2 linked regions of the Callithrix jacchus genome follow. The protein of the gene in region 1 interacts with the protein of each later gene in a pairwise test. Links are inferred from orthologs where the notes say so. Each region holds a gene or a part of one and is shown in the gene's direction. Other genes may lie near its edges.

What was found.
Region 2: the proteins of MTUS2 (region 1) and BEX2 interact in binary tests that used the Homo sapiens proteins (3 or more experiments, as listed by UniProt). The link is inferred for Callithrix jacchus from reciprocal best matches to the Homo sapiens genes MTUS2 and BEX2.

The regions. Positions count from the first base shown.
Region 1 is NC_133506.1:148,701,103-148,710,905, forward strand, and holds part of MTUS2 (microtubule-associated tumor suppressor candidate 2), read left to right. Parts: intron 1-30; coding exon 31-104; intron 105-3,673; coding exon 3,674-3,772; intron 3,773-4,808; coding exon 4,809-4,928; intron 4,929-8,094; coding exon 8,095-8,192; intron 8,193-9,803. UniProt on the Homo sapiens protein: Binds microtubules. Together with MAPRE1 may target the microtubule depolymerase KIF2C to the plus-end of microtubules. May regulate the dynamics of microtubules at their growing distal tip.
Region 2 is NC_133524.1:99,378,862-99,388,670, reverse strand, and holds BEX2 (protein BEX2), read left to right. Parts: upstream 1-3,890; 5' UTR 3,891-4,020; intron 4,021-4,437; 5' UTR 4,438-4,523; intron 4,524-4,887; 5' UTR 4,888-4,892; coding exon 4,893-5,279; 3' UTR 5,280-5,523; downstream 5,524-9,809. UniProt on the Homo sapiens protein: Regulator of mitochondrial apoptosis and G1 cell cycle in breast cancer.

The DNA.
Region 1 (9,803 bases):
CAACTTAACAATTTAATGTCTTCTTTCCAGAATTGATGTCCACTCATGAGCTTGAAAAGAAAGAATTAGAAGAAAATTTTGAAAAACTGCGACTGTCATTACAGGTTAGTATTTCTTTAATTTTCTTACCTGATATCGAGATCATCATTCCCACCCACAAACATTCATTCAGCACCTACTGTGTACTAAATCCTGTACTAGACACTGGAATAGAGGTAAATAAGTCATACTCCCTACCCTTAAGACATGTGCTGTCTGCTCAGAGAGCTGTGATGCAAATAGTAACAGACAACCATAGGTAACACATACCATCACCGAATGAATAATGCAGTTAGTGAGCACTACAGACATTCAGAAAGAGTACTCTGCACTTGCTGTGGTCTGGAGTATCCGAGCAGTAACTGAGCTAGGTTCAAAGCAAGAGGCGGACTTGGGGAAGTGAGTGTTTCAGGCAGGGGGAATGGTGCAAGGAGGGCTGTGCAGGTCAGAATTCACAGAACATGCTCTGAGCATCATAAAACGGGCTGCAGTTACCTGGAGGTGGCTGATATGAAAACACCGTCTCTGCTTCTCACTTCCGCCCTTAGGATATGCTGGTCTCAGATGTCAGAGGGGCTTCCTGATGTCCTGCAGGCCCCCAAGGGAGAATGCAGGGTCTCCTTCCCACCTTACAGAGACTCAGGCAGCTGCTTCTGTGAAAAGACATTGACATCCCCCAGCCCTAGAGAGGAGCTGTCTGAGAAGCCAGGGGGACACTGGGGGCCCTGCTTCCCTTTCCAGGTGTAGCAATTCCAATCACAACAAAATTATTTTTTAAATATTAGGCTCACTTCCACCTGGAAATGGTGGAAGTGAATCCCATAGTTGTGATATGTAGGCAGGAATTCTGCTTCTTTGATGACTCACTTTCCTCTGGCAACATACATGGCACTGAGCCTGCCCCACCAAGAAAAGAGTCCAGGATTGTGAAGAGACCCCAGGTCACATTCTCCAGGATACTCTTCAAAGACTGAAATGTGCGATGCCTGCACAGTGCTTGTGTGGTTTGCCCTTGGCCGGTTAACCCCAGACTGCCTTCCTCGTATACACACCGGCAATTCCTTAAAGGAACATGAAAATCCCATCCAATCCCAAACCCAAAGGAATGAGAGTTTTGTCTCATCTGGGAGTCTGTGCCCTGCCACTGACCAAATGGTCCTGAACTGGGCAGTTTTCATTGTGGCTCTCTGTGCAGCAGAATGTATTTGGACTGGAGGTAATTTGGTGCAAGGAGGGTGGAATTGCTCAAGCCAGCCTCCTTGGGCTGCCGGCACCTGGAGAAACAGATTTGGTAGTTGGAGACGAGTTTTCATTTAAATCCCCCCTGTGCTAGCTCTTACTAGCTTTCACATCTTGGAGAGTTACATATCCTCTATAAACCTTAGTTTACTCTTTAAGGATGGTAATACCTTTCTCAAGGTGTGAACAGATGAAGGGAAATAACGTGTGAAAAGTGGATAGCCCTGGGGTGGCTGAGGTCAGCGCTAATAAGTGTCAGCTATTGTAACTGTTATAATAACCACAAGCACTGTTACCTTTATTATGATTGTTGCCATGCTATTTATCGCTTGATTCCCCAGTGACCCATGCTGGGTCAGGCTACCAGCTGTGTCTTTGTGCCTCTTAGCTTGACACAAAGAAGTCAGCCCAAGTTGATTGCAACAGCACATTCTCTCCCTGCAGATGTTTTGAGTGATGGTGACTGAGGCAGAAAAATCACAATTTGGTATTTTAGATCCATCCTATGTTATAATTGCCTGACGAGTTTTCTGTTGTTCTCTTTTTTAATGGAGGGAAAGAGGCTTAAAAGAAATCCTTTCTCTGGCAACACCAAGGTTTGGTGTAGGAGCCAAGGAGCAAAAGGCATTTTTATAGTCAGTGTAGCAGGTGGCGTGTGCTGGGGCCCGGAGGGGCATTTCAGCTCAGGCACGCAAGCTCCCGCCTGCAGCGCACTGCCCTCATGCAGCGGCACTTGCATTTAATGGCACTGTGGGAACTTTCGTTTCTTAAAAATAAAATGGGAGTAGGCTGGGTGCAGTGGCTCACGCTTATAATCCCAGCACTTTGGGAGGCTGAGGGGGGCAGATCACCTGAGGTCAGGAGTTCAAGACCAGCCTGGCCAACATGGTGAAACCCCATCTCTACTAAAAATACAAAAATTCGCTGGGTGTGGTGGTGTATGCCTGTAGTCCCAGCTACTCAGGAGGCTGAGATGGGAGGATCACTTGAGCCTGAGAGGTGGAGGTTGCAGTGAGCCAAGATTGTACCCACTGCACTCCAGCCTGGACGACAGAGTGAGACCCTGTCTCTGTCTCTCATATATGTATGTGTGTGTGTGTGTGTGTGTGTGTGTGTGTGTGTGTGTGTGTGTGTGTATTATATATATGTATATTTTTCTTTGGAAGAATTCACGGGACACCCTAGTTTCCGTGTTTTGATGTTACAGAAATGGTGCTGTAACAGAGCTTTGGACTGGTCTGCATGAGTGAGACACGAAGGGTGAAGCGCTTCTTGGGCATCAGTGGTCCTTTGCCAGCCTGTGGTGTGGGGAGTCATGGGCAGGCTGAGTGGGACAGAGTCAGCGCAGGTGCATCTGCCCTGGGAGCTGGGGAAGGGGCATGGTGTCCCCATAGACACTCCTGCTTTCCTTCAACCTGCAGGTGGAGAGCCGCCAGCTGCCCCCCTAGCTGACGGGCATGGGAAGGCAGAGGGCTGGGAGTGCCAGTCTGGCCAGGGAGCGGGTCTCAGCAGGGAGGAGGAGACTGTGTGGACTCAGCTTCCATGTGAGCTCCTATCAGGGACATGAAACCCAGCTGTCAGGCCAGGAAGGCTGCGTGGGAGCCAGAATGAAGCAGGAGTGAGAGGCAGCTGGCTGGAGGAGGGCACTGCCAGCAGGAGAGCTGGCGTGAGAGGAGAGGGAGGCAGCGAGGCGGGAGGGTGCTGCGTTAGGGAGTGTACACGGCACCTTGAGGGCAGTGGGGTAGGAGGTCGGGGAAGGACAGGTTCCGCTTTGCACATTAGAAAGAGGGCTTGACTGCAGCGTGAGGGTAAAGGAGTGATACTTCAGGAGAAAGAAGAATCGTGTCAGGATGGAGCCAGCCGAGTGGCTGAGCTCAGGGGAGTCTGTGGCTTCTAGGGACATTCAGGAGGCAGGATAGCAGGGCTCGGTGGCCAGAAGGTTTGGTGATGTGAGAGGGATCCCAAGGCAGAGAAAGAAGTGAAGGAGGGTTGGAAGGGTTCTGGATTGAGCTTCATAAATGAGAATGATTCTTTGAAGTACCTTCACTGTGGTCCTTCCCAAAGCCAGGGCTGGGTGCCTCCTGGCCCAGACGCCTCTCCCTGAGGATTGTCTGCTTCTATAGGATCAGATGTTGTGAGATGCCCCCCGGTTCACAGTGTTTTTGTGGTTTCTTCCTGACAAAGAGCCAAGAAGGGCAAGCCACGGGTAGGCGTTGGGGGAAACCATGCCCATCATGTGATTTTGGGGGTCCCCTTGGGCACCTCTTTCTTCAGTCCCAAGGGAGACACTCTAAGGATGCTGAAGAAAGTGGTGGCCTGCTGATTGAAGCTGCCCCAGCTGTGGCAGCGGCAGGCTGTAGCGCCCCCAGCTGGACTCCTCATGTCATTACTCCAGGACCAGGTGGACACGCTGACCTTCCAGAGCCAGTCTCTGCGGGACAGAGCACGCCGCTTCGAAGAGGCCTTGAGGAAGAGCACGGAGGAGCAGCTGGAGGTAGTTTCGGGATTCCAGGCTTCCAGCCCCAGGCCACGGGACTCCCTCAGCAGTCTTGTCCCAAGACAAGGCCTCTCTGTGAATCCCTTGCTGAAGTGACAGCTGGTCACGACCTCCCCTGGATTTGTAAACAATTTCTGTCAGCACATCTCCCCAGAGTCAGACAGCAGCTGTGGATTTCTCCAGCTACGTGTTATTTTTGCCAAATTCCACAGCATTGCCCAGCCGAGGTTCCGGGGCCCCTGTGATCAGCATGGTCCGGCAACCCCCGACCCTTGCCCGACCACCCCTTCCATCTCATTCTCCCCCAGCTTTTTAGGCTGACACGGGCAGCCTTGGCTACAGCAGGAGTTAATAGGTTGAGGGGAATTTTTTTCAGGAAATCTGGCAAAACTCCTTCTCTCTAACGTAGGGTTGCCAAATAAGATACAAGACACGCAGTTAAATTTGAATTACAGGTAAATAAATTTTTGAGTCTAAGTATGTCCCAAGCAATACTTGTGCTCACTTTTTTAAAACGTGCTTTATCTGAAATTTGAATTTAACAGGACATACCATGTTTTAATTTGCTATATCCAGCAGCACTACTGTAATGTGTCTTTTTCCAAAATGGCTTTTCTGCTTCTTAAGCCACTCTGCTCATTTCCTGTGCATGGGCTCTTTATGGGTATAGGTGGGACCCAGAAGAGCCCCAGCTACCAGTCATCCAGGTGAATGTTAAAGGCTAGTGTTGGGTTTACTCTTTCGACCCATGAGTTCCCTGCTGGGCATGGGCTGGCAGCATCCAGCATTTCCGGAATCAAACTTCCCAGTGGACGATGGCTGTGTGTCACCTGCTCCCGCACAGAATGGGTTCCCAGGGGGAAGCAGCAGGACCCCTTCATCAGGGAAGACTGCGAGCATCCTCTGTCTTTGCTGTGCAATTGCTATTGGGGCGTTGGTCCAGAGGCTGGATTTAGCTGGATTAGTGATATTGGTTAATACTGGGTTTTGCCGGGAGCCCCGGTCAACATTTTATGGCTCTCTGCCCCTGTAGATTGCACTGGCTCCTTATCAGCACTTGGAAGAAGACATGAAGAGTCTGAAGCAGGTATTAGAGATGAAGAATCAGCAAATACACGAGCAGGAAAAGAAGATTCTTGAGCTGGAAAAGCTGGTGAGTTGGTCTGTTTGCATGGGAGTGACTAACCTCCATGACGCTCCTCCTGTCGTTCCTGATGTCATTGCTGATGGTGTTCGGCCAGGTGTGTCCCTTACCTGCCCATTGCTTATACCTAAGCAGAAAATCCCATGGCTGGCCTTTCCTGGGAAGCCAGGAGCTCTGATAAGAAATCTTAGAGGTGGCCTCACCTTGTCCAACTCTGAAACCTTCCTGACAGGCGGCCTCTTTCTGCTTCACCCTGGTTTTCTGGCAATTGCACTGTCTCTACACCCTGTCTTGGGGACATGTGGTGACCCAGCAGGATACAGCATCTCCAGTGCCCAGGCACTGCACAGAGCACTTTCCCTGAGTGAGCCTGCTCCTAACTCCGACAGCTGCCTGTGGAGCAGCTGCTGCCATGAGCCGCTTTACAGATGCCGGAGATGGTGCTAAGGAGCCCCTGCCCAGTGCTTCGAGTCCCCACAAGGCAGAAGGGGCCAGGGATCTTCCTGGGGCCCTTTTTATAAGGGTATTAATCCCATTCACAGGGGCTCACCTTCTGGATCTGATCCCCTCCCCAAAGCTCCGCCTCCTTGGGGGTTAGGTTTCAGCACAGGAATTTTGGGGGACACAAACATTCAGCCCAGAACAGCGTCCCTGCTCTCACTGACACTCACCCAGCTCAGCCCACCAGCCTGGCTCCTGCAGAGCTGGCAAAAGTCACCCCCTAGGGGACACAGAACACGCAGGATTTCACCCCCTACGCTGGGGCACAAGCATCCACCCCACCCCCCCATCACCCCCACCCTCCCTGGCCAGGGCTAGAGTCCCAGAAAGGTGTGCAAAGGGAGTGGCAGGGAAGCCTCCTTCCAAGGGCAGCCCATCTTGATCTGGAAGTTGGCCCCAGGATCTCAGATTCTTATTTTTTCCCTTTATTATTATTACTTTAAAAATACACTTTTGATACTACCAAAAATAATATATGTACTTTGGGAAACTATGAAATAAGATAAACCGAAGAAAAGCAGATTATAACATCATATTCCTACCAGTGCTTATACTTTCCAGAACTTTTTCTCTGTAAGGCAGTGTCTGTATGCACACACACACACAGCCCAGGTATTATATCATCTAAGCGTTTTATGTCTTTAATGTGCCATCTCAGGCAGGAACTGATCATCTCATCCAATTTTTAAAGTTCCCTATTTGTGAAATGTTCCTTGCATCTGGTATAACCAAACCAGGGGCTCGTCTAGGACCACACATTGCATTTGGTGGCCGTGTCACCTCTTTCTCTGGAAGCATCCCTTTTGCACATCACTTGCAGTATGGGTGCTTCTCAGTGAATGGGGCAGACCAGGTGATGCTGGATTGTCAAGATTCTGGATTGTCAAGTGAGCAATGCTGGCCACTCTCTACCCTCTAGCAGCCCAGGACTTCCTAGCTCAGGCCAGGCCTAGGGCTGGTGGGGAGCTACAGGACCATGCCTGCCCCAACCGAACCCTGCCTTGCAACCTGGCCAGTGCTGGATCAGCCACTCTGAGAGCAGTCACCTATCCTCCCGCTCCTGGCTGGGCCCTTTGCATTGGGTCACCAGCAAACCTCTGGGTTTACTTGGCTGATTTTAGCTATGCTCCAGGCTTTCTGCCTGCCCATATGACTTCTCATCCCAGAAATCTTTCCAGGCAAAAACGAACCCATTTGATCACTTCAACTCCTGAGAGCAAAAATGAGGGCTGGGTGAGGTGCCTTGCTAAAGAGCAGGGCCAGAGGCCAGTCCTGTGGCTAGGATTCCTAAGCCCTGTTCATGGACAAGGAACCATCCGTGAACAGGGCTTAGGAATCCTAGCCACAGGACTGGCCCCTGGCCCTGTTCTTTGTCAGCATTGCCCAGAATCTTGACAATCCAGCATCACCTGGTCTGCCCCATTCACTGAGAAGCACCCATACTGCAAGTGATGTCTGCAAAAAGGGATGCTTCCAGAGAAAGAGGTGACACGGCCACCAAATGCAATGTGTGATCCTAGACGAGCCCCTCGTTTGGTTATACCAGATACAAGGAACATTTTGCAAATAGGGAACTTTAAAAATCAACTACATTCTTTAAAGATTAACTACAGTGCCAGGTGTGGTGGCTCACACCTGTAATCCCAGCACTTTGGGAGGCCAAGGTGGGTGGATCATGATGTCAGAAGTTCGAGACCAGCCTGGTCAATATGGTGAAACCCTGTATCTACTAAAATACAAAAAATTAGCCGGTTGTGGTGGCGCGTGCCTGTAGTCCCAACTACTCAGGAGTCTGAGGAGTTCAACCAGGGGAATCGCTTGAACCCAGGAGGCAGAGGTTGCAGTGAGCTGAGATTGTGCCACTGCACTCCAGCCTGAAGAAAGAGCAAGACTCTGTCTCAAAAACATAAAAAGATTAACTAGATTAACAGTGAACTTGTCACATTCTTTTCAAAAGATATTTCTAAATTTGTCTTAGACTGGAACTGTACTCAGCTAGGTCTCAGGCCCTCGAGGACATGCTAACAGAGGAAACGGCATCAATTGCGGGGGGTAGCAGCCATGGATGACGGGATTTGGGGTAATGTACCAAGCTGGGCTTGGGCTTTGCATTCCTGGCTGCCCACAGCCTCAACAGGAAAAAGCATGCTTACAGTATGTAGATTTCCATCCCTTCATGGATTCAGAATGTCATGTCACACGCGCACGCTGGCCAGGAATACTGCTGCAGTGTGGTTGACCCTTTGGGAAGAACCATGGGACCATTAGTCAGATGAGGTCCTGATGGGATTCATGGTTTATCTCTGACAATGGCAAGGGCCTGGGGACGGTCACTGTAAGAAATACATTTTATATCACAACCCCCTTCCACACACACACACACACTCTCTCTCTTTCTTTCTCTCACTCACTCACACACTCTATATATATGAAATAAAAAATATCTGAAATTTGCTACATACAGTACACATGGGCATTTTCTGTTCTGTTTCATTTAAAGAAGAAATGCTGGTCACATTCCTGTAACCTGATTTTACAACCCACTAGTGCATTGCAAACTGATATGTGCAAAATGCTGTTCTTGATAATCCTCCAATGCCCAGAGCTGAGGGCACCGGTTTACTCCCTATTTTATGGCCTTGGTAGAACCTCTTAAATACTGTATCCTTTATAGGCAGAAAAGAACATCATCCTAGAAGAAAAGATCCAGATTCTCCAACAGCAGAATGAAGACCTTAAAGCAAGGATCGACCAAAACACAGTTGTCACCAGGTAGGTGGGCGGGGTGTCACCTACGAAGTGGCTTCCTCTTGAGCTTCTTTTTGTCACAATATCCAGTTTCCCTCACTCTGGGCTGCGAGTCTTTCCCCACAGTCTCTTGCTGTTTCCCCCATGACCTGAAGAACAAGAACAGACCCCTGTGGCCACCTTGCCTACACCTGGCCACATATCAGTGGCCCCCACCTTGGGGAGAAAAGAGTGAAATCAGCAGATGTGTGCAGCAGGGTCCTCCTGTAGCACTGGGAGGGGAAGGGGCTGGTTTTTGGAAGAGATTGGGAGAGGGGGGCCAGCTGGGTGTTCCCAGGCTAAAAAGAGAGCCACCACTGGCTGACACCCCGGCTTCCAAAAATTCACCACTTCCTTCCAGGTCTTGCCTGTCTCTGTGGGGCCCTGCTCTGAGGTGCCCCAGCTTCCAAGGAAGCGTGTTCAGGCTCCTTCCTCCCACAGCGCAGTGTGGGGATACAGCAGGGTTTTGGGGGATAGAGCAGGGTTTGGCTTCATCAGCTGCTCTTCCATGAGGGCCGAGCCATCTCAGTGAGACCCAGGCCCACTTTGAGGTCTCTGCCCACTGACCTCAGCTAGGCTCCGCAGCGTTCACCCACGGTGTGTTAGCCTTGCACATACAGCTCATGGACGTGCATACACTCACATGCACTCACATGCACTGCATGCTCGCTCACACACACACTTGCATACTCCCACTCGTGCAAACACTCATATATTCATACAAGCCCTCACACCCATCCACATGCCCTATTTGCACGCTCATCCTTATATGTACATCCTCGCCCACACATGCTCTTGTACACATGCAGGAATGGACACACAGCCATTGCCCCCGTAACTAAGCCTCTACTGCAGGCATTTTGTTCACACCTCAGAGGCACATAGGAAAGTCTGTGCTGGGGTCAGCAGGCTCCTTCACTCCAGAAGCTGCACAGGTGCCCTGTCAGCAGAGCAAGCGCAGACTTTATCCCTGGGAGATAACTTTTCTGGACCTCAGTTTGTCCAGCTTTAAAATGCATCTGCATTTATTCCTGTGAGTTCCTCAAAGGTGCTGTCTTTCTTTAAAATGCAACAAAGCAAGCAACTCAGATTCATTTTTTCACCCACCAGCCTTTATCAGCAAACATTAACTGAGCATCTATTATGTGCCTGGCACCTGCTGGATGCTGGGGTTCAGCAAGCAGAACCTTGGTTTCTGCCCTCCAGAGCTCGCAGTCCAGCAGGCAGACAGACCCACAGAGCAGCATTTCTAGCAAGGGAGGATGCCTGCTGTCCTGGAGGCGCAAGCCTGGGGCAGGGAGGCCAGGAGAAGGCATCCCCAGTTTCCTGGCAGGCTCAGGAAGGCTGGCAGCTTGTCTCTGCCCTTGTGCTGTTGTCATTGTCAATTGCCACCTCTGCAGCTGACTGTCCTCTTGGGGCCTCCTGGCAGCATACCCACTCCAGCTCTCCACTTCCCTCTGTTCAGTCACTGGACCTTTGCTCTTTCCAGTGGATAGACAGAGCAGTGCCTCCCCTGACCGGGCAGAGGGCCTGTGAGATGATGGGTGTTGGCCAGAGAGCCTCTGGGAACAGAAGTGTCATTGGGCCAAGTGGAAA
Region 2 (9,809 bases), on another chromosome or scaffold:
ACTGAATGGGCAAAAACTGGAAGCATTCCCTTTGAAAACTGGCATAAGACAAGGATGCCCTCTCTCACCACTCCTATTCAACATAGTATTGGAAGTTCTGGCTAGGGCCATTAGGCAAGAGAAAGAAATAAAGTGTACTCCAATAGGAAGAGAGGATGTCAAATTGTCTCTTTTTGTGGATGAAATGATTGTATATTTAGAAAACCCCATCGTCTCAACCCCTTAAGTTGATAAACAACTTTAGCAATGTCCCAGGATACAAAATCAATGTGCAAAAATCACAAGAATTCCTATACACCAATGATAGACAAAAAGAGCCAAATCATGAGTGAACTCCCATTCACAATTGCTGCAAAGAGAATAAAATATCTAGAAATAAAACTAACAAGGGATGTGAAGGACCTCTTCAAGGAGAACTACAAACCACTGCTCAAGGAAATAGGAGAGGACACAAACAGATAAAAAAACATTCCATGCTCATGGTTAGGAAGAATCAATATTGTGAAAATGGCCATACTGCCAAAAGTAATTTGTAGAGTCAATGTTATCCCCATCAAGCTACTAATGACTTTCTTCACAGAATTGGAAAAAGCACCACCTTAAACTTCATATGAAACCAAAAAAGAGCTTGCATAGCCAAGACAATCCTAAGGAAAAAAAAAAAAAAGCTGGAAGCACCACACTACCTGACTTCAAACTATATTACAAGGCTACAGTAATCAAAATAGCATGGTACTGGTACCAAAACAGAGATATAGACCAATGGAACAGAAGAGAGGCCTCAGAAAGAATGCCACACAATGACGACCATCTTATCTTTGACAAACCTGACAAAAACAAGCAATAGGGAAAGGATTCCCTATTTAATAAATGGTATTAGGAAAACTAGCTAGCCATATGCAGAAAGCTGAAACTGGATCCATTCCTTACACCTTATACAAAAATTAACTCTGGATGGATTACAGATTTAAACATGAGGCCTAACGCCATTAAAGCTCTAGAAGAAAACTTAGGCAATAACATTCAGGACATAGGCACAGGCAAGGACTTTATGACTAAAACACCAAAAGCAATGGCAACAGAAGCCAAAATAGACAAATGGGATCTATTAAACTTAAGAGCTCTGTACAGCAAAAGAAACTATCAATAGAGTGAACCAGCAACCAACAGAATGGGAAAAAATTTTTTGCAATTCAAACTGACACAAGAACAGAAAACCAAACACTGCATGTTCTCACTCATAGGTGGGTGTTGAACAATGACAACACATGGGCACAGGGAGGAGAACATCACACACTGGGGTATGTTGGGGGTAGGGGTCAAGGGGAGGGACAGCAGGGAGCGGGGAGATTGGGGAGGGATAACAGTGGGAGAAATTCCTGATGTAGGTGACGGAGGTGGGGGTGGAGACAGCAAATCACTATGGCATGTGTGCACCTATGCAACAATCCTGCAAGATCTGCACATGTAACCCAAAACTTAAAGTACAATAAAAATTTTTTTTTCAACCTACCCATCTGACAAAGGGCTATATTCAAAATCTATAGAGAACTTAAATATACAAGAAAAAACAACACCATCAAAAAGTGGACAAAGGATATGAACAGACACTTTTCAAAAGAAGACATGTATGCAGCCAACAAACATATGAAAAAAAGCTCATCACTGGTCATTAGAGAAATGCAAATCAAAATCACATTGAGATACCACCTTATGCCAGTTAGAATGGTGATCATTTAAAAATCAGGAGACAACAGATGCTGGAGAAGATGTGGAGAAATAGGAACGTTTTTACACTGTTGATGGAAGTGTAAATTAATTCAACCTTTGTGGAAGACTGTGGTGATTCCTCAAAGATCTAGAAATAGAAATACTATTTGACCCAGCAATCCCATTACTGGGTATATACCCAAAGGATTATAAATCATTCTGTTATAAAGATACAAGCATACGTATTTTATTGCGGCACTGTTCACGACAGCAAAAACTTGGAACCAATCCAAATGCCCATCAATGATAGACTGTATAAAGCAAATGTGGCACATATACACCATGGAATACTATGCATCCATAAAAAAGGATGAGTTCATGTCCTTTGCAGGGACATGGATGAAACTGGAAACCATTTTTAGCAAACTGACACAAGAACAGAAAATGAAACACCACGTGTTCTCACTCATAAGTGGAAGTTGAACAATGAGAACACACGGACATAGGAAGGGGAACATCACACACTGGGGCCTGGGGGGTGGGGGGCTAGGGGAGGAATAGCAGGGGGTGAGGGGATTAGGGAGGGATAGCATTAGGAGAAACACCTAATGTAGATGATGGGGAGATGGATGGAGCAAACCACTACCATGGCACGCATAAACCTATGTAGTAAACCTGCACGAACTGCACATGTATCCCAAAACTTAAAGTATAATAAATTTAAAAAAAAAGAATTCTGTTATTTCAGCACCATTTGTTAAAACACTATACTTTCCATATTGAGTTATCCCGACATCTTTGTCAAAAGTTAATTAACAACGTAGGTATCAGTCTATTTCTGGACTCCCTATTCGGGTTCTATTAATCCACAGGTCTGTGTTTACTACTACATTAACTACTGTATCATTATAATTTAAGTCTTGAAATAATATAATGTAACTCTCAAGATTTGCAGGATTTTTGTTTTTCTTTTCCTTTTTTTTTTTTTTGAGTCTGAGTCTCGCTCTGTCATCATGCTGGGGTGCGGCAGCGTGGTCTTGGCTCACTACAATCTCTGCCTCTGGGGTTCAAGCGATTCTCCTGCCTCAGCCTCCCGAGTAGGTGCGGGCCACCAGGCCCAGCTAATTTTTGTATTTTTAATATAGACGGGGTTTCACCATGTTGGCCAGGATGGTCTCTATCTCTTGACCTCGTGATCCACCCGTCTTGGCCTCCCAAAATGCTGTGATTACAGGCATGGGCCACCACGCCTGGCCTAGGATATTTTTTAAAAAGTATTTGTCTGTTTTAGGTCCTTTGCATTTCCAAATGAATTTATGAGTAAGTTTGTAATACTTATCTTGTATCTGCAACCTTCTTAAAATCAATTCTTACTCCTATAGTAGATTAACTGTAGATCTCTTCGGATTTCCTGAATTCATGATTATTGACATGCAAATAAAGACATACTTATTATCATTTGAACCAGAAATTTGTGAAAAAGGTCTTTTTTTTTCTTTTAGTTCTGAAAACCCAACAAAGCTCTGTAGCACTACAACTCACTAGTTCATCTCATAGAAGGGCCTCATATGTCCAGGGGCCCCTCAAAAGGGGAGTCATCAGCTGCCCTGTCCTTTTCCAAGTTCTAAAAAAGCAGCTGTCGGTAGTGTCTATATTTGTATAATGATTTAACAGGACAGGTGGTTAGGATGTTTTCCCCAACTTTAATCCCGTTTTTCAATTAAAAATAACATTTTTTCCTCTTTTAAGACGTATATATTTTTTGTTTCATATGAAAGAACACAGAAAGGTATTAAGAATGAGAAAAGTCTACTCTTTTGGGCTCCTTTTCTGATATACCTCTTCCACTAGTTTTAGTGGAGGGAAATCAGAGTATTGGTAGGAGAGAGGACAGAAGGAGGTGAATCCTGGGAGCCAAGGACAGAGAGAGGCAAGTCCCCAGAGTGGGAACGGCTAACATCTCCCTGAGATGATATGTTCCTCCCTGGGCAGGCAGAGGAAGTCCGAAGAACACACAAAGAAAGGAGAGTGGCAAAGCTCAGGCCGGGGATGTTCAAAGGGACTCCCGGTGTGAATGGGGGCTGGCCCGAAAGCCCCGCCTGACTCGGGGCTGCAGGAGGGGGCGTGGGACGGGGGCGGAGCCGCTGGCGATGACAACCGCCCCACGTGACCTGCCAAGTGAGTCTGTCTCGCTCTGGTGTCAGAGCCGCCGTCGCTCGCTCCCTTCTCGGCAGCGGTACCTGCTCCAGGTGGCCCTGAGAACGTGCGGGCCGGGGGCGACCCCGAAAGTAGGAAGCGGAGGGGAAGCAGGTAAGGGACCTGGAGGAGATCCCTGGGGTTGGTGTTGGGGAGCGGCCCCGGCCTGAGGATGACCCACCCCCGGGTAGCCGCGCGGTGACGCAGGCGGTCCACCATGAAGCAGACCCCGGGCCCCACCGCCTTCCTTGAGCCGAGAGGTGCCCGGCCTCGCGAGAGCCGGCGGTCCTGAGGCTACGACCCTTCGGAAACACCTGCCTCCGCCACCTGCGCAAGCTTTTCCGACACCCCTGCCCCGCCCTTCTTGGTGCAGAAAATGGTGGTCATCTTGGGGGGAGGGGCTGCTGAGGCGGGGGGCGAGGGCGGCGAGGAGGGCCCGGGCTCGGGACGGGGAAGGGGCTGGGTGACAGCTTGTCATCGCTAGCGTTCCGCTCCAGCAGCCCCCACTCCCTGCCCCCTGCTCTTCTGCAGGTCTGAGGGACTAAGTGTCCGGCGGCGCGCCTCGAGTCGAGAATCGGGAGGAGGAGATCGCAAGGATAGGCCCAGGTCGGTGCGAGGTACGGTGGTGGGGCGGGGGTCGGAACGTGAGGAAAGCCCAGTCTGAGACCCCAATCCATGCCTTCACTCAACACTTCGCAATCCTTCCCCTCCCCCACCCCATCCTCGTCCTCCATTTTGGTGCCTGCAGAGGCCTGGAGATGGATCTGCAGGGAAGATGGTGGGCTTTGCAAGAGAGAGGGGCTAGGATTGTCTCCCCGCGAGGGCACACTGGGTCTCTCTGGTGGAAAAAAAAATGAAATTTTAAAATGGCCTTTGAAGTCCAGGGCTCTGAATTTTGAAAGGTGTATAGTAGGGTCTCTGTCCTCGGTGCTGATCGGTTCACCAAGAATTGAGTCTCTTTTTTTCTCTCTTGTCTCCTAGGAGTAATGGAGTCCAAAGAGGAACTAGCGTTAAACAATCTCAACGTGGAAAATGTCAAAGAGGAAAATGAAGAAAAAGATGAAAAGAAGCAAGTTGCTAATAAAGGGGAGCCCTTGGCCCTCCCTTTGGATGCTGGTGAATACTATGTGCCCAGAGGAAATCGTAGGCGGTTCCGCGTTAGGCAGCCCATCCTGCAGTATAGATGGGACATGATGCATAGGCTTGGAGAACCACAGGCAAGGATGAGAGAGGAGAATATGGAAAGGCTTGGGGAGGAGGTGAGACAGCTGATGGAAAAGTTGAGGGAAAAGCAGTTGAGTCATAGTCTGCGGGCTGTCAGCACTGACCCCCCTCACCATGACCATCACGATGAGTTTTGCCTTATGCCCTGAATCCTGATGATTTCCCTGAAGTTTATAGGAAGACCCCTGCTTCCTAAACTTACATATTTGTGGTGTACCTTTGTTGCAAACCTTTTGATGTTACTTATTTCTTGTGGGTCTCCTGATACCAGCTTCTAACTGAATGTTGTTTCTGACCCAGTTTGTAAGTTTCTGTCAGCAGGCGAGTTTTACCTACTGCATGGAAAGATGCTCATTATATATTGTGAAGTTAATAAAGCAGTTTTAAAAAGCATTCTCTGCATTCTTTTTTACTTTAAATCTTAAATATGAACATAAACAGTCATGTATATATACATATATACACACACATATATAGTAAATAATGTTTATCTCTGTGGTAGAATTAAAAGGGAATTTTATTCTTGCTTATCCATCATTTCTTATTTTTCAAAATGGAACTCTATTACTTATATATGACCACCTTATAAAAGCAATGTGTACACTTATTAAACATTTATGACAGAATCTCAATTTGAGCTTACCCCTGGGATCTCTTTTTAGAAATGTAAGTGACACATCTCTCTGAAGATCATAATATTTATCAGTAAGATGAAGACAAGCAACCTCCCAGGGTTGCTGTATTGACCAGATGAGAGAATAAGGTTGTGAACTTTCTCCCAAGTTCTTGCTCTTAGTGACATGCATGACCCAACCCTTTAGATATTTCCTTCCGTTATTAGAGGACATTTCCGAGGTGAGGTCTTCCCTATGCTTACAAGTCCAGTAGGCTTAGGAGTAGGTACTTTCATTCCTCTGCTGCTGCGTTCTATTGTCATCTTCCCTGGATATTATTCTGTCTGCTAGGTTTTGCTCTTACACTAGCTCCTACCATTGCAGATGTTCAGGAATCCTCAAAGTGATAAAGTCCCACCGATTTATCTGGAATTTCCAGTGGATTGAATCCTTGCTCTACTTTACAAAAGTGTGGACAAATTCCCCCCTCCCTCTTCTGTTTCATGGAAAAACATTGTCTGTCTATCTCTTTCCTTACAGGTGGTTCTCTCCTAGGCAATCTCTTCCTCAGTATAGCAGACTATGTAAGATGTGTGAGGAAACACAGCCCACTTTTAATCTGAGACAGTCCCACCTCATACCAGCTCACATTCACCTGAAATCCATAAATGTACAGAATTTTGTTATCTATATGGAGTTGGACATCAGGATATCATGTTAGTGAATCAATGTATACACAAATGAGACCTTTATGAGAGGTCTATGGGAAGACAATTGGGGTTAAGTGTCCCAGCAGAACTAGGGAAATAAAATCCCCTGCAGTTTGTACTAATCGGATGAAATCTACACATTTTATGTATGAAGACAGTCTTACAAACTTAAAGTTAGGATTCTAGAACAGGGGTTGGCAAACAACCCATGGTCCATCTGGCCCACTGCCTATTATTTGGCCTATAACTAAGAATGATTTTTACATTTTTTAAAGGTTGAAAAACCTGAAAATATGACACTAAAACCATGAAACTCAACTTTTGGTATCCATAAATTTTTAAATGAATGGCATGCTTATTCATTTACATGTTATCTATGGCTGTTTTTGTACTACAGTGGCAGAGTTGAGTAGTTGTGAAAGATAGTACAGCTTGCTTTCAGTGACTACATATTTTTTATATGGTCCTAACAGAAAAACTTTGCCACTCCTGTTCTAGAATATAACACTGCAATAGAACTTATGGAACCAAAGGGGAAATGTGGATAGGCAGGTGAAAATGTCACATAACATCACAAACCCCATCATGAATCAGATGCCTAAGTAATTTCAAAGCTTTTTCTCCTCCTGCAAACACTTAAGACACAAGACAGAAGATTAAAGAGAGCCTAGAGTTGAAAGGGCAGGAAAATTGATGAATGGAGAGGCTTATGTCCTACCAGATTTTTATTTTTGGTTGTCAGTGTTAGCATCAGCTTCAGTGGAAAAAAAAGAAGTGTTCATGAGGAAAAATTAAGTTCATGTGTAAACTGATGGCATATCCATGAGAGAAGGTGAGGCACACATATGCCCAGAAAAATGCATATCTCTTCCATGTCCAGGCAGATTGAAGTTTCCCTGTCAGTTTCTCAGAGAAAGTTGGTTTTAAGATTCTACTCTATGGAGAGAGTCTTCTGCTAACCAGTTTCTCTTGGCTCTTAACAGAGTGTTTGTGTCTGAAGGGGCAGCTGAGACAGTAGCATGTGAGTAGTTATGCTCCATATAAAACGTTCAAGCAACTACCAGCAACCAGCAGAAAGTAAGCAAAAGGCAGTGCAGAGCATAACATTCCCTCAAGAGAAGCAGCTGTATCTAAGGTTCTCAATGCATTTGCCTACATATCATTTCTATATGTAATACGGTGAGCATCATTTTCTCGTTTACTGTGGCCATTCTTCACAAAATGTGTACATAAATTCTTCCCATAAAAACCTACAAATTCTGGCAAAGAGCAGACAGGGATATTAGAGACTGTGCCTTGGTTGTCAAAGAAAAAGGATGTTCATAAAGGATATTTGAGATGTAGATATGGGTTTAGCATATCATGTACATCCAGTAAATACGCGTTGAATAAATGAATGAAAAACTGAACAAGAGAAAGATAGATTTAGTGCTATTTAACAAATAGTAATGAGTAATACGTTTTGAATCCTTATGTATTTCTAACAAAATTGAGATAATGTAGATAATATCTCATAACTTTCTAATATAACAGTTACTGTTTTTTTTTAGCAAAAAATTCAAGTCCATGCCTTAAGGATCTAGAAATAAAAATATCATTTGACTCAGCAATCCCATTACTGGGTATATATCCAAAGGATTATAAATTGTTCTATTATAAAGACACATGCACACATGTTTATTGTGGCACTGTTCACAATACTGAAGACTTGGAACCAACCCAAATGCCCGTCAATGATAGACTCGATAAAGAAAATGTGGTGGGGGAGGGTGGGGGGGAAAATGTGGCACATATACACCATGGAATATGCAGCCATAAAAACAATAAGTTCATGTCCTTTGCAGGGACATAGATGAAGCTGGAAACCATCATTCTCAGCAAACTGACAAGAACAGAAAACCAAACACCGCATGTTCTCACTCATAAGTGGGAGTTGAAAAATGAGAACACATGGACACAGGGAGGGGAACATCACACCAGGGCTTGTCAGGGGGTCGGGGGGTAGGAGAGGGATAGCAGGGAGTGGGAGGATTGGGGAGGGATAGCATTAGGAGAAATACCTAATGTAGATGACAAGGTGATGGATGCAGCAAACCACCATGGCATGTGTATATCTATGTAACAAACCTGCACGTCTGCACTTTTACCCCAAAACTGAAAGTATAATAAATAAAATTAAAAAGAAAAAAAAGTACAAAATTGTCTAAAAAATTTTTCAAAAAAATAGTCAAATCCATTGAAGGAAATGTAGAAAATAAACTCAAAGGCTATTTTATGACCAAACAAAGTGCTGCAGTTTGAACATTCTAGTCAAGGGTAGAGCAAGAAGGAACACAGACACTGGACTCTTCCAGTAATTCCAGATAGCATGGGAAGTACGCTTTGGTAAGAAGTAAAACAAAGCCTTTATGATTAACCACCATTTAAAACACTAATCCACATTTATGCTTTCAATGAAAATGGAGTTTACCTCCCTAACTGAAACAGCTGAAACCTGGAAGAATATATGAAATAACCCTTTTCAGTCACTGAACATCTATCAGAGAGTGGAGGGCAAAGCTATCTGAGAGAGGGTTAATAAATAACATAAGCTTTATGAGTGTCTCTGATTTACTGCATATTAGGATTAAAATGTATACTTTAGCACAAAAGCCAGAAGAGGGGAAAATAACAGCACAAAGGCCAGAGGAAGGGAAATGAAAGTACACAATTTTAAGGTTCTTATTCTATATATTAATATCACTTAAAGGTAGATTCTGATACATTACAGATGTGTACTATAAACCTTAAATCAACCAGTAAAAAAGTTATAGCTAATAAGCTAATATATAAGGTAAAATGGAATTCTCAAAATAATCCCCAAGAGATAAAATAAGCAGAACAAAGAACGGGTAGAACAAATGAAAACAAACAATAAGATGGTTGACTTAAACTCAAACATCAATAATCACATTAATGTAAATGGTTTAAATGGTTCAATCATAAAGCAGAGACGGTCAGCTTGAATAGAAAAGAAACTCACAAAAATGTGCTGTCTATAGGAACCTTATTTTCAATTTAAAGATACAAATTGTTTACAAGTAAAAAGATGGAAAAGATGAATAATTTTATCAGGAATCAAAACAATGCTTGAATGACTATATTGATATCTGATACTACATTTTAGAGAAAAGAATAATACAAGGAATAAATTAGGTCATTATATAATTTTAAGTGGTATATTTATCAAGAGGACATAACAATCCTAAGCATTCTTGTATTACAGCACTTCAAAATACATGAAGTAAAAATATAGAACTGCAAGGAGAAATAGACAAATCCACAATTACAGGGATTTCAAACCTTCTCTAAAAAT